Linked DNA regions of Stegostoma tigrinum. The protein of the gene in region 2 interacts with the protein of the main gene of each other region in a pairwise test. Links are inferred from orthologs where the notes say so. Each region holds a gene or a part of one and is shown on either strand. Other genes may lie near its edges.

The links.
Region 1: the proteins of spry1 (region 2) and gemin4 interact in binary tests that used the Homo sapiens proteins (3 or more experiments, as listed by UniProt). The link is inferred for Stegostoma tigrinum from reciprocal best matches to the Homo sapiens genes SPRY1 and GEMIN4.

Annotation. Positions count from the first base shown.
Region 1 is NC_081380.1:34,516,495-34,523,425, forward strand, and holds the start of gemin4 (gem-associated protein 4), read left to right. Parts: upstream 1-3,860; 5' UTR 3,861-3,951; intron 3,952-6,391; 5' UTR 6,392-6,478; coding exon 6,479-6,488; intron 6,489-6,931. UniProt on the Homo sapiens protein: The SMN complex catalyzes the assembly of small nuclear ribonucleoproteins (snRNPs), the building blocks of the spliceosome, and thereby plays an important role in the splicing of cellular pre-mRNAs.
Region 2 is NC_081354.1:34,545,125-34,552,261, forward strand, and holds the start of spry1 (protein sprouty homolog 1), read right to left. Parts: upstream 3,045-7,137; 5' UTR 2,603-3,044; intron 2,564-2,602; exon of another isoform or gene 1,761-2,563; intron 781-1,760; exon of another isoform or gene 5-780; intron 1-4. UniProt on the Homo sapiens protein: Inhibits fibroblast growth factor (FGF)-induced retinal lens fiber differentiation, probably by inhibiting FGF-mediated phosphorylation of ERK1/2. Inhibits TGFB-induced epithelial-to-mesenchymal transition in lens epithelial cells.

The sequences.
Region 1 (6,931 bases), on a different chromosome or scaffold from region 2:
AGCATCTGCAGTTCCTATTATCTCTACTAGGGTTTAATGGGTCCTTTTGAAATTGGCAAACAGTAACCAGTGGGGTGCCTCAAGGATTGGTGCTGGGACCCCAGCTATTCACAATGTATATTAATGATTTGGATGAGGGAACAAAATGTAACATCTGCAAGTTTGCAAATGATTCCAAGTGGGGTGGGAGGGTGAACTGTGACAAGGATGCAGAGATCCTTCAACATGATCTCGACAGGTTGGGTGAGTGTGCAAATCAATGGCAGATGCAGTATAATTTGGATAAATGTGAGGTTATTCATTTCAGAAGCAAAAACAAGAAGGCAGATTATTACCAGAATGACTATAAATTGGGAGGGAAGTGTGCAGTGGGACCTGGGTGTCCTTGTGCACCAATCGCTGAAGGTAAGCATGCAGGTGGTAAAGAAGGCAAATGGGATGTTGGCCTTCATTGTGAGAGGTTTCAAGTCCAGGAGTTGCAGTTATACAAAGCCTTGGTGAGGCCACACCTAGAATATTGTGTGCAGTTTTGGTCTCCTTTTCTAAGGAAGGATGCTCTCACTCTTCAGGGAGTGCAGCGAATGTTTACCAGGCTGATTCCAGGGCTGACAGATCTGACATAAGAGGAGAGATGGACTAGATTGGGACTGTTTTTGTTGGAGTTCAGACAAATGAGGGGGAAATTTCACAGAGACTTATAAAATTCTAACATGGCTAGATAGGGAGATGCAGGGAGGATGCTCTCAGTGGTGGGTATATCCAGAACCAGGGCTCACAATATGAGGATTTGGGGTAGACAATTCAGGATGGAATTGAGAAGATATTTCTTCACCCAAAGTATGGTGAGCCTGTGGAATTCATTACCACAGGAAGTAGTTGATGCCAAAACATTGGAAGTTTTCAAGAGGTGGCTAGATTTAGCACTTGGGGCAAATGGGATTAAAGGTTATGGGGAGAAAGCAGGATTAGGCTACTGAGTTGGGCCATCATCCATGATTGTGCAGAATGGCGGAGCAGGCTCGAAGGGCCGAATGGCCTCGCTCTGCTCCTATCTTCTATGTTGCTATAAGCTGACAATTCATGATGTCAGAAGGGCTATGCCACAAGATGTGAATTGTCATAAATTGCTGGATGCTTTGCACAATTCAGCTATTTATTCTCATAAAACAAAGCTTGAGATCAGTCCCTCTGTGAGAATCAAGAAACTGCTGGACTTGTACTGTGAGTAAGAATAAATCTCACTGAGGTCTTGTAATTAATGACATAAGGATACTGTTAGTGCTGAGATTATAGGTCTGACATGAAACCTAACCTCTCCAGTCTGGAAATAGAAAGAATTTAAGCTGTGGACTCTCAGTCCAGTTGGTTGTAAATTGTTCCTAAAGCTTATTTTTTTTGTCATAAATTTTAAGTTTCGCTTTTGTCTCCCTCTCTTAGCTCACATTCTCATTCTCTCACTTTGGGGGAGAGGCAGTTACTCTTAGAAGGAACTTCAAGCCATTCGGCACATAAGAGGACATGAGCAGGTGTTCCTCCTGACTGAGAACCCTGGAACATGGCATCCTGCCTGTAGTCATCTAGCCGGCAGTTCCAACATTCAGTCGCACCACAGAAGTTTGTGCCTACTGCTGGCACACCTGAGTCCCAGCTTCAAGGAGTGATGCTGCGAGAAAGGTGGGTGTTGTTAAGACTGGCTCACTTAGTAGGCCCCTTAGTGGGAGGGGCCACCTGGAGACAGGGGAGTGGCTCGAGGTCAGAATCTCTTTTCCTCTCTGTTTTATTTTATCAGCCATCTTGAACTTGACGTAAGAAAACCTGTATAATAATAAGTATATATTTAATAATGAAAAAGTCAATTTTGACACAAAAAACTTACATCTACACAGCACCTTTAAAGTACAATAAAAACACCTCAGGGTTATCCACAGGATACATCTTACTAATGCCCTTTATGGAAGGAAATCCACTACTTTACCTGGTTTGGCCGAGGTGTGATTTCAGATCCAGAGCAAAGGTTTCATTCCTAACTGCCCGCTGAAATGGTTTAGCAAGCCACTTGTTTTCAGGGCAATTAGGGATGGGCATTAAGTGCTGGTACAGTCATCCACACCCAAATCCTATACATGGTTATTTTCAGTCAGATGTTGTTAGAATCTTGCTGCACATTTCATGTAATAAAAGCAAAACACTGCAGATGTTGAAAATCTGAAATGAATACAGTTCTGAAGACAGCACATAAAATGTTAACTCTATTTCTCTCTCCACAGGAGTGCCGTACCTGCTGAATTTCTCCAGGCATATCTCTTCTGTTGTGAGGACAGATCTTTTCAAACAACCTGTTCAAACACCTCTGGAACAGACAGGACTTGAACCTCGGACTCCTGGCTCAGAGGCAGGGGTACTACCACTGTGCCACATAACCCTTAAAATACAAATTGTTTGCAACTTGCATTACCAAGAGAATAATGTTGATATTTTCTAATCAATCTGTTCAGAGATGTTATTACACTGATATTAATTGTTATTAGTTCTGAGGAAGGGTCACCGGACCCCCCACCAACCTCCGGATACAACATATCATCCTCCGACACTTCTGCCATCTACAATCCGACCCCACCACACAAGCTATTTTTCCATCCCCACCCTTGTCTGCCTTCCGGAGAGACCACTCTCTCCGCGACTCCCTTGTCCGCTCCACACTCCCCTCCAACCCCACCACACCCGGCACCTTCCCCTGCAACCACAGGAAGTGCACACTTGCTCCCACACCTCCTCCCTCACCCCCATCCCAGGCCCCAAGATGACCTTCCACATCAAGCAGATGTTCACCTGCACATCTGCCAATGTGGTATATTGTATCCATTGCACCCGGTGTGGCTTCCTCTACATTGGGGAAACCAAGCGGAGGCTTGGGGACCACTTTGCAGAACACCTCCACTCGGTTCGCAACAAACAACTGCACCTCCCAGTTGCAAACCATTTCAACTCCCCCTCCCATTCCTCAGACGACATGTCCATCATGGGCCTCCTGCAGTGCCACAATGATGCCACCCGAAGGTTGCAGGAACAGCAACTCATATTCCGCTTGGGAACCCTGCAGCCCAATGGTATCAATGTGGACTTCACAAGCTTCAAAATCTCCCCTTCCCCCACTGCATCACAAAACCAGCCCAGCTCGTCCCCTCCACCCACTGCATCCCAAAACCAGCCCAGCCTGTCTCTGCTTCCCTAATCTGTTCTTCCTCTCACCCCATCCCTTCCTCCCACCTCGAGCCACACCTCCATTTCCTACCTACCACCTCATTCCACCTCCTTGACCTGTCCGTCTTCCCTGGACTGACCTATCCCCTCCCCACCTATCTTCTTTTCTCTCCATCTTCGGTCTGCCTCCCCCTCTCTCCCTATTTATTCCAGAACCCTCTCCCCATCCCCCTCTGATGAAGGGTCTAGGCTGGAAACGTCAGCTTTTGTGCTCCTGAGATGCTGCTTGGCCTGCTGTGTTCATCCAGCTTCACACTTTGTCATCCGAAACATTAACTCTGTTTTCTCCTCCACAGATGCTGCCAGACCAGCTGAGCTTTTCCAGCAACTTTGCTTTTGTTCCTGTTATTACACACCTCTGGAGCTGGGACGTGAACTTGCACCTGCCAGCTCAGCGACACAAAGAACTGTTTCAAAAAAATGTTAGCAACTTCCATCATCAAAAAGATTCTATACCAACCCGCTCAGAGGTGCTGTTCCACACCCTTAGAAACATACTCTGTCGCTCAGCAATGTGCATGCTTCTCAGCAGAGGCCATATGCAATGCGGCGCAGTTACTCATCCTGCCTAGGGGGCGGCAGCGGCGGCGCCTGGCTTTCTTTTCGTGTCCCTGGGAACGCGTCTGCTTTGGCGAGGTTGCCTGTTGTATGATGGAGAGCGACTGAGTGATGGAGGCACTGAATGAATGAGTGAGTTGGAAGAAGGGAGGAGGTCTTCTTGCTGTATGGGTTTGGAGGGTAGAGGATAGGGATGATGATGATGATGATGATGATGATGGTGGTGGCGGCGGCGGCGGGGAAACCGAAGATACTCCTGGAAGCTGTACATCTCATTAAGGGCCTCAGGCCTTCCTGCAACTTAATCACAAACGTACACCGCCCCTGTTCTTTTTATCTTGGTTAAATAGCCTTCAGGAGGAAATTTGATCTCATCAAAACGTTAAATTTGCTTGCTTGTGGTTTTGATGCAATTAAAATGTATGATTTTACTTAAGTTGCATTAGCATGGTGTGAAGAAAGCACGAAACAGCCACACAGTGACTTCAATATAATAGGAAATGTGTGTGTTTTCGAAATCTTTTGGAGCAGTTGCTGTACTTAAACGTTCAAAAGGCCAAATTTGCTGCAATAATATTGTTATCTGTTGGTTGTGGTGTCTGACGTTTGATTTGTCCACTAGTTATAGTCTCAAACAAAATACGGTGGCTGTTAGAGATCTGAAAGAAGAGGAGTCATTGGATTCAGAGATAGTGGGAGCTGCCGATGCTGGAGAATCTGAGGTAACAAGGTATAGAACTGGATGAACACAACAAGCCAGGCAGCATCTGAAGAAGGGTCCAGGCCCAAAATGTCAGCTTTCCTGCTCCTCTGATGCTGCCTGGCCTGCTGTCTTCATCCAGCTCTACCCCTTGTTATCTCAAAGTCATTGGATTCAAATGTGTTAACTCTATTTCTATCGCCACAGATGTTGACAAACCCACTCCAGCATACACTGTTTTTATTTAATTAGAGTCTCACTTCAAGGTGCAATTATTACCAAGCTCTCCATATTTGGGATAAAATAATGGGAAAGTGTCGGGGATTCTCAGCGGGTACTCCAGCACCTGCGGACAGAGGAACAGATGTAATGTTTCAGGTTGATGACATTTTGCCAAAAACAAAAACAACCAGAGACGTAATGGGTTTTCATTTGAGTACAGAGACAGGGATAAGAGTGAAGAAATGAAAAGCTTGTCTAGAGGAAGTATAAATGGGAATAGCAGGATTATTGTCCATAACTGCAGTCTGAAACAGTTATTTTGTATTCATTAACGGGATGAGGGCACCGCTGGCTATGAGCATTTGTTGCCCATCCTTAATTGCTCAGAGTCAGCCACATTTCTGTGGGTCCGGAGTCACATGTAGGCCAGATCAGGTAAGGATGGCAGTTTCCTTTCCTAAAGGGCATTAGTGAACCAGATGGGCTTTTCCTGACAATTGACAATGGATTCATGGTCATCATTAGATTCTTAATTCCAGATATTTTTATTGAACTAATTTCCAATATCTGTTGTGGTGGATCTTCAATCCCAGAATGTTGTCTGAGTCTCTGGATTAACAATCAAGCGACCATACTACTAGGCCACCACCTCCCTAATAGTGGGAAAACATATATGATCTGAAGTGGTTAAACTCGATGTTGAGTATGGAAGACTGTAAAGCACTTGGAAGAAAAGATACTGGCCTTCAGCTTCTCTGGACAACTGCAGAAAACCGCAGACAATTGAAACTATGTTGGTGAATTAAAATGGCAGGTAGCCAGAATTTTGGGGTTGTGTGGACAACGTGGTATTTGGAAAGACAGTCACCCAATCTGCTTTTGCTCTTACTGGTGAAGAAGAGACTACACTAAGTGCAGTGAATCCTGTAGACTAAATTGAAAGAAGTACAAATCAGTCTTTCAGCTGGAAAATGGGTTTGGGATCTTGGTGAGTGGGAATGCACAAAGGCAGTTCTTAAGGAGAGTCATACTGGACTCGAAATGGTATTTGTCTTTCACCATTGATGCAGCCAGACTTGCTGAGTTTCTCCAGTGTTCTCTATATTTATTTAAGGCAGATACAGTCTTTCACTTACCTGGGAGAATGCCTGTGGAAGGACTGAAGGTGTTGGGGATAATTTGAAGAGTGAATCTGGGGTTGCAGGCAAGACAATCCTTTTGGAATACTGAATGTGAAAGTACAGCAAGGTGCTTTGGTGGTGGAATCACATTTGGGATAGCGTACAATGATAAATTGAATATGGAGACTGATCTATGGAAGGTGAGGACAAAAGCAACTTCGTTATGTCCAGGTATCTGCATTTTTGAATTGCACCTTTTACTAGTTGCAGTTAGTGTGAAACCAAAATGATTTGCTTCGTTTAACAATGATCTGTCACGGAACGCTATAGGTTTGGTACTCTCAGGAACTGACATTTCAGTCATGCTGCCATTTTTGCATTCCAATCATGATTTAGAAGGCAGGACAACTACATCTTTCAATTGCCGCTGAGTTTTATAAGCAAGAAAACTGTCATTTTTTGTGGGGGTGATACTCTTTACATATTGAGATGTTAAAACTTTGTTTAAAAAGTTCAATTTTTTTCTAAGAGTTCACAGGTTTGGAGGAGTTTCCAATTAAATTGTACGATCAAGCCATCAAAGATTGCACAGTGTATGGGGAAATAACCTGTAAATATGGAGCAGGGTAAGTTTCTTTCCATTTTTTAAAGACCATAATTTGTGTCATGGCTCCTGTACAGCATAACTTGAGCACGAGTTGCAGCTTCTTCGGTGCCAGATTTGCTAAACTGCAGAAAAAAGTTTGCGTGAAATTATGTTCTTGTGCAGAAAGCAACACCACTCTCGAGTAAACCCATGAAACAAATGTTTGTAAACTTGCAGTTTAAATGCTTCCCTTGGCTGATTACTGCAGGAAGCTTGCTGAATGTGGATCCTTTTAGTTTACAAAAGCAAGTTGACTTTAAAATACATTGGTTAATTAATTTTTGTATGGTGCCTGAAGGTATTGTGAGAGAGAGAGGGTGAACAGAAACTTGTAGCCACACTAACCTCACCATATCAGGAGGTCAACTGACTTGACTGAGACTAAGGCTGTGTGTTTGTGTTATTGCTACAGGTTCAATGTAA
Region 2 (7,137 bases):
TTACCTATTTCCATATATCCACCAAATACAAATCCATTTTATTACTGCCTTAGCCAAGTCTTTTCCAAGGTAAATCCAGATTCGAGCCTTATATCAGCCAAATGTATATTTAGAAGACGCGTCGTCGAACCGAAAACAAGACTGAACGGGAGGGCAACTTGTGAAGCTAAAAGGAGCAGGAGCCCACGCTGCACTGACCCCGAGATGCAGACGTGCCGCGGGGGCGGGGGGCGGGGATGGGTGGCGGTGCTGCCAACCACTCGCGGCGCACTCCACTCCGCGCTCTGGCCCCGTTCGCTGCAGCGTCCTTCGGGTGATTTCCTCAGCGGCGCTTCCCGCAGCACGCTGTCGGTGGGGGTTTGTCGCCAAGGCCGTCTCCTTGTTTGGCCACCAGTCAAGCTCTCCGCAAAGACTTTTATTTCTGCACCTTGGTTGCCACACACGGAAGGTGTCACCTGTAACGCACGGTCTCTGGGTGCATCGGTTTGCCCTGGTCCTGATTGCTGTAGGTGTTGAAAGAGTTTGAGCTCCCAACCTTGTGCCAAAACTCTGCTGCCTATGTATATGTGTGTGTGAATGACTATCAGTGAAGCTTTGCTCCTATGCACTGTTATTGTGGTAAGCTAAATCTCGGCACAATTCCTCTTTATAACAGCCGTAGCGGCGCCGTCCGCTTTCCAATTGTCCTCAGTGGCACTGGCGACCGCTCGTCCCGTCCCCTCCACCGCTAGCCCCGCACAAACACACACCATCATTGGTCGCCAGCTCGCATTCCACTGCGGCTCATTAGCCGCAAGGGCGCATTCCAACGCCGCCGATTGGTCCCCGTGTCCGGGGGTATGGGGGGGGTGAAACGAAGAGGATACGGCGCATCCGGTCAGCATTGATTGGCTGGGCCGAAGCCGGCCCCGGTTAGTGGGTTCTGATTGGATAAAGGTGTGAGGATCCCGCCTTCTTCCCCGCCCCTTTCCTTTGTTCCCAGGAAGCGGATTGGTCGGGCCTGGGGACTCTGGTTGCCGCTGAGAGCAGATAGGTGGGTAGTGTCCCGCTAATTGGATCGGAGGAAGCGGCGCATCCGACCAGAGACAATCGCTGTCGCGTTGGGTGCTTGTAATTCATTTCACTTAGATTTCCCCGTACAACCTCCCCTGCAATTTACCACGAATCATATAATGCATATGCCAGACTAAATTAGTTACGTTCTGTTTCATAGTAACGTTAAGCATTGAAGAAACTGTATTGAAACATTAAACGTAAACATTATTTCCTGTTAGAGTCGTGTATCAATTCTGCTGCAGTTCTCACCATATTCTTACTCAGCGAGATTTAAGAAAATACACATTTTGTATCTTGGCTGTCGAAGCACACAAAACATACTCTCGCACACACAAACACACACGCAGACCCCTATCCGTGTTCTACGAGCAAAATAAAATGTTCCTCATTGCTAAACGAGCCATTGGAGAAAAATCATCTGAGCCCCTCACGCTGCCTTGGGCCCTCGGCGGCTTTATTATTCATTTGTAAAATAAACCGCAGACCGGAATTCAGTGCAATTCTCCCTCTATCGCATCCTGCTGGTTCCCATTATACAGAGAAAGCTTTCAGATGAGAAAAACGAATGTGGTTTTCAAAAGAGGCAGAGGAAACATTCATCAAAAAAGAGACCCGCAACGACGAAATCTCGCTTTCAAAGGCCATTACTGAACACATACAAGTATTTTAGTTTTTTTTAACTATGTTTGGGCTTTTTTACTTACCAACAAAAAATAGAAACCGTGCATCGGAATATTGAAAGTCCAGGTACTAAGGAGCTGAACATTTCCAGCAGCTCCTACCCTTAGATAATGCTTTTGTGTTCAGATCACACTGGGGGGAAATCCCGACTTCCTAAACGCCTCTTTGTTGTAGCTCCAGTCATTTGAATGCACCAAAACAACTGTCTCCTGCCACCGTATTCATGCTGAGAATGTTAATGCCAATCCACGGAACTTTCTGAATGGGGCGGGGAACCTACACTAAATGTCTTCAGGAATAATTTATGAGGAATATTAAATGATTCCTGGTTGTAATCGTTAAGCGAATTTGAGCTGCAAAGTGGGACAGCCTGTTTGTTTATATAGAGAGATGCAGTGCGTGTGTTCGCCCGCGTATTTTAATGATACATTTAATAATCTGGCAGAACACATGAACCTCTTCCGTTCATCCTGAGTACAGTATATGCATTACGAAGTACAGGCGTTTCCTTTGTTGCTGTCCTGTCTCTTTGAATGTTCCTTTGGGGCGACCTGTGGCTCTTTGGCTGGTTTCATTTGCGCAGGAAATCGCTCATTCATTAACCCTCTGGCTTCCCTTTCATCTGAAGTCTGACTGATCATTAAACCGCCTTTCACACCGGAACGGCTGAAGACCCGTTTAAAGAAATTAAGGGATTTATCTGTTAGTCCATCAACCCTTCCAGACCAGTTATCAGGGAATTTCATTAGCCGAGATGTCAGACCCGGAGGCCAAGGAACTGACCAAATGGAGACTTCAAAGTGCTCTTAAAACGGCAACGCCAAGTTCTACAGAAACTGCAAAGGGAATTTAAAGAGACACCTACCCTGTTGGTGTGATCGAACATCAAGGTGTAGACCACATGTCCCATTCAACAACAAACCCCTGCCCGGCAAAAACACAAATCCAGTCCCAGAAACAACAACAAGAGATCAAGGGTCGATTTCATACAGTCTGACTTAACCAAAATGATCCATGTCAGAACTGACACAAACCCCTCCCTCCTTACATAATGGACATGCCAAAGCTGACAAGTAGCTATAATCTCTGCCTAATTCATGTTTTAAAAATGAATATTGCCTCTCTGAAACCAGTCTGACGAGAGGCATCAATATTGCATCCCCTATCCAGGTTTAACTACTTTTTTTCAATCGACTCATTGATATGTCCACCTTGTTAAAACACAAGGCTTGTCTTCCCACCGTCCATGGTGTAGAGAGACAAAGGCACACAAGGAGTAAATCAAGCTGGTTCATCTAGGTCCACAGACTCCCTACACTTCAATGGTGAGAGTATCTGGTAGCTGCGTTTTTTAGTACCTCCCCGCACACCAACCCAACCCCCCACCCCGCCTCCAAGGAGTAAACTCCTTGGCAGCCACTGGGTCAGCAGCGCGCTGAATTCGGAACATATCCAGTGCAGTGCATTTTAAAAGGACATTTCAACTGTAGAAAATAGATTGTCACCCACCACAAACCTATTTTATGATTACTGTTCCCCGTGCTGGGAAAATGATCTCCTCCATGGAGATAGGTGTGCGACCGGTGGGTGCGCGTGGGGTCTCAATGCTTAGTTAGTTGCCCTTGCCACCAGTAGGAGACACTTTCCGGGCGAATATTTACACATCCCCATTACCCCGAAATAACCAGTCAACAAACAAAACCGCCAGTGAACGGCCCGAACATTGGTTCTATGGGCGAAATCAGGCAAATAAACAGCAAATAACTGAGGCGCGATATCCAATCTGCGACCAATTGTTTAGTCTCTGTGCTATGCTCCGCTCTTCAAAAGCATGAGAGCTCTGCTTTGCGATTTTAATAGTGTATGTGGGGAGGTCTCGAGCTGCGTACTTATGCCAATTGCAAGGCCGGTGTAGCTGTCAGCATGGCTGATGTGCCATTACCTGTAACTGCTGCTGCTTTTCACAATGAGCGAAAGCTTGTTTTTACATTTATTTCCGAGTCCTCACCGTGCTCGCGGCTATCAATGAGGCAGCCTGCTCCCAACGCCTGGGAAGGGCAGACAAGGAGGGCGGATCAAGAAATGTTTCTCGCTCGAATGAGCTCGACAGATAGCATCCAAGGTTTACGGTACGAATGAGTCTGTGGTTTTGGTTTTCTGACATTGATGGACGCTGTTTATCTTTTCATATGGTAAATGTGTCAGTCAGAGTTTCGGCAGAACCAGTCAACCCAGTCTGCTGTATTACACATCGGGTCTGCTGCAAGTCACACTGTGTTATGGTAACAATTTACAAAAACTTTAACAACCAATATCAGAACGTTCTTGGGTAAATTATAGCACGTCATTCAATGCGCATTTTTTCCTCTTAATTCCGGAAAGCCGTTTTACTTTGAAACTTTTTTTTAGCAACGTTTAGACGGGAATTTAAAACAATTTTCAACATGGCACCATTTAGCTCAGTTATTGATACATACTAAACAGTGAAAGTATTTCACAATGTACAGTCGAAATGCAAACACCTTCCCAGCAGAAGTTAAGAATCATTTGAATAGGGAGTGTTTTTTTTACTTCCCTCATTGTGTTTTTTTAGGGGGGGTTGGCACATTTCAAGTAGAAAGACAGTCACAAATTGTAGAGAACCTCTGCCGTACCTCTCTTCCCTTGCATTCACGCTCGAACAAAAATGAATCCGTTTTGATGTGCAGTTTCCGCACATGGACGGTGCATTTATAACTGAATCTGAAACACGGCAATGGATCAAGTTTGACAATTTCCTTGAATGGAGTCGATTTCACCCAAATACTGATGATGACCTACACTGGCATTTTTTTTGCAGCAACGTTGCGGAAGTCAGTGGCTAAGGACACGCGGGAAGAAGACCAGTGCGCTGCATCGGTAATTACAAACTACAATCCCCGTGGTAAGCCTCAACTAATGCTGAAAAAACGGCGTTCGGTTCCAAGTAGTAAACGCCGCTGGACCTAGATCTATGAACAGAGAAACACAAGTTACAATTTCCAGTCATAGAAATGTACAGCAGGAACAGATGCTTCGGAGCAACTCCTCCATGCCGACCAGATATGCTAAACTAATCTAGACCCATTTGCCAGCATTTGACACATATTCCTCTAAACCTTTGCTATTCATGTACCCATCCAGATGCCTTCTAACTATTGTAATTGTACCAGCCTCCACCACATCCTCTGGCAACTCATTCCATACATGCACCACCCTCTGTGTGAAAATATTGCCCCTTAAGTACATTTTAAATCTTTCGCCTCACATCTTAAACTTATGTCTACTTTTGGACACCCCTGACCTGAGGAAAAGACCTTCACTAATCACCCTTTCCATGCCCTTCACTTTTTTATAATCCTTTATAAGCGTTAGAGTAAAGGGAAGACCCTTTAGAACGGAGATAAAGAGAAACTTCTCCAGCCAGAGAGTGCTGAATCTACAGAACTCACTGCTACAGAAGGCTGTGGAGGCCAAGTCAATGAGTGTATTTAATACAGAGATGGATAAGTTCTTGACTGTGAAGGGAATCAAGGGCTACGGGGAGAAAGCGGGAAAATGGGGTGGCGAAGCTGATCATCCATGATGGGCTGAATGGCCTAATTTCTGCTCCTGTGACTTATTGTCTTAGCCAGCATGACTTCTTCAGAAATGCAGTTTGCTGAAGATTGATATTGACTCCGAACCGTGAACTCTTATTTCTCTCCAAACGGATGCAGCCGTAGCTGCTAAGTTTCTCTAGTACATTGATTTTTTATTTTACTTTCAGATATCCAGCATTCCCAGTTTTTTTTTGCCTTTGTTTTAAGGTTGGCATCAGGTTCTGAAATCTGATGGCACTGAGAGCCCTCCCGGACTAAACAGTTCCTCGATAACACCATGGCTTCCGGAACACTTTTTTGTAGCGAATTGAGGTGGTTAACGTTTCTGGGAACTGCATCTCTGCGGTAACATAAAGGTAGATACCATTCCTCTTGGAGTCTGGTTGCAGTCTGATTTCAAACTACACATTACACGGGCTTCACACCATTTGGTGAGAAAAAGAGGACGACACTCCAACCCGTGGTGTCTATACAGGTTTTAAAATGCACTATCCATGGTTTATGTTTCTAAATTTACCCAAAGGCAAGGAAAATGAAACATTGCTCTGGCTATATTGTCACCAACATGTTTCTCAGCTGGACTGTGTCATACCCCTTATCAGTCAAAAAAGAAGTCAGTGCAGGTAAAGAAAACAAGTCAATAGGGTCCTGCTGAATGGCTTCTGAAGAGACTGATAGTCATTGGGCAGAACCACCACTCCATTGCCAGGTCTACCAAACGAGCACCACGTGATAAAAGGCAAATTTGCTGGAGTATAGTGCTGCTCTCTCATTCCAGAGGTGCAAATGCTGATGGTTTAACCTGAGGGTTACCATGCCTCAGGCGAGAGGAGGGATTGAGAAGGAGAGTCCTTCATAGTAACCTCACCCGGCGCTGGAATTGAACCCACTCTGTTGCCATCACACAGCAACCGTTCAGCCAACCGAGCTAATGCACCCCCCCCCCCCACCTACAAAGTGATACCTTGGCTGAGGGTGTCCTCCCCGTCAGATCTTTCCTGCCTAAACGGTATTACGGAGTCACCCCATGCTGTCCTGATAGTACCCTTCTGGCATTTATATTTGCAAAGTCTAGTGAGTAAGAGATGCAGGCCAGGCAGTATCAGAGGAGCCGAAAATTTGAGGTTTGGCGTCGGGACCCTCCTTCTGACCAGAAACGTCAACTTTCCTGTTCTTCTGATGCTGCTTGGCCTGCTGTGCCCCTCCAACTCCACGCTGTTCTATCTCTGACTCCAGCATCGGCAGTTCTTACTATCTCTGAGAAAAAGATGTAGTGTTTTGTTGGTAAGGTAATCCCAAATAACACTGTAAGACGGAGCTTCTGTTATTTAGGACCTTGAGTCAAGGGATAAACACTGAGGCATACACCAACTGCTGCTGGAAGACCTTGGATCAGGTGAAAAAAAAGTTGTACTGCCCAAAACTTACTGAACATTTCACGCAAGGAGATATCCTGAACCAGCAATGCAGTTTGCCACTTTCCCAACGTCCCTGGTCAGAAAGGGAGGTCTTGGGGATGGGATGCAATTATGCAGGAGAACAATGAGGGAAGCTGTTAAATCCAAAAGTGTAATCTAAATATATGGGTTAATTTCAGTGAGGGACCCTAGAGTGTCATATACTGTATTTTGCCACATTGAATGGGCATTACACCCAGTCTTCTGCGTTTTTAACGCCACGCAACGTTTTTAGTGTTTCATCCATTGCTAACTACGCGGGGAGCATTTCACAACAGCCCCAAGCAAAAATAAATGCACAGCAGTTACTTCTGGGGAACTTC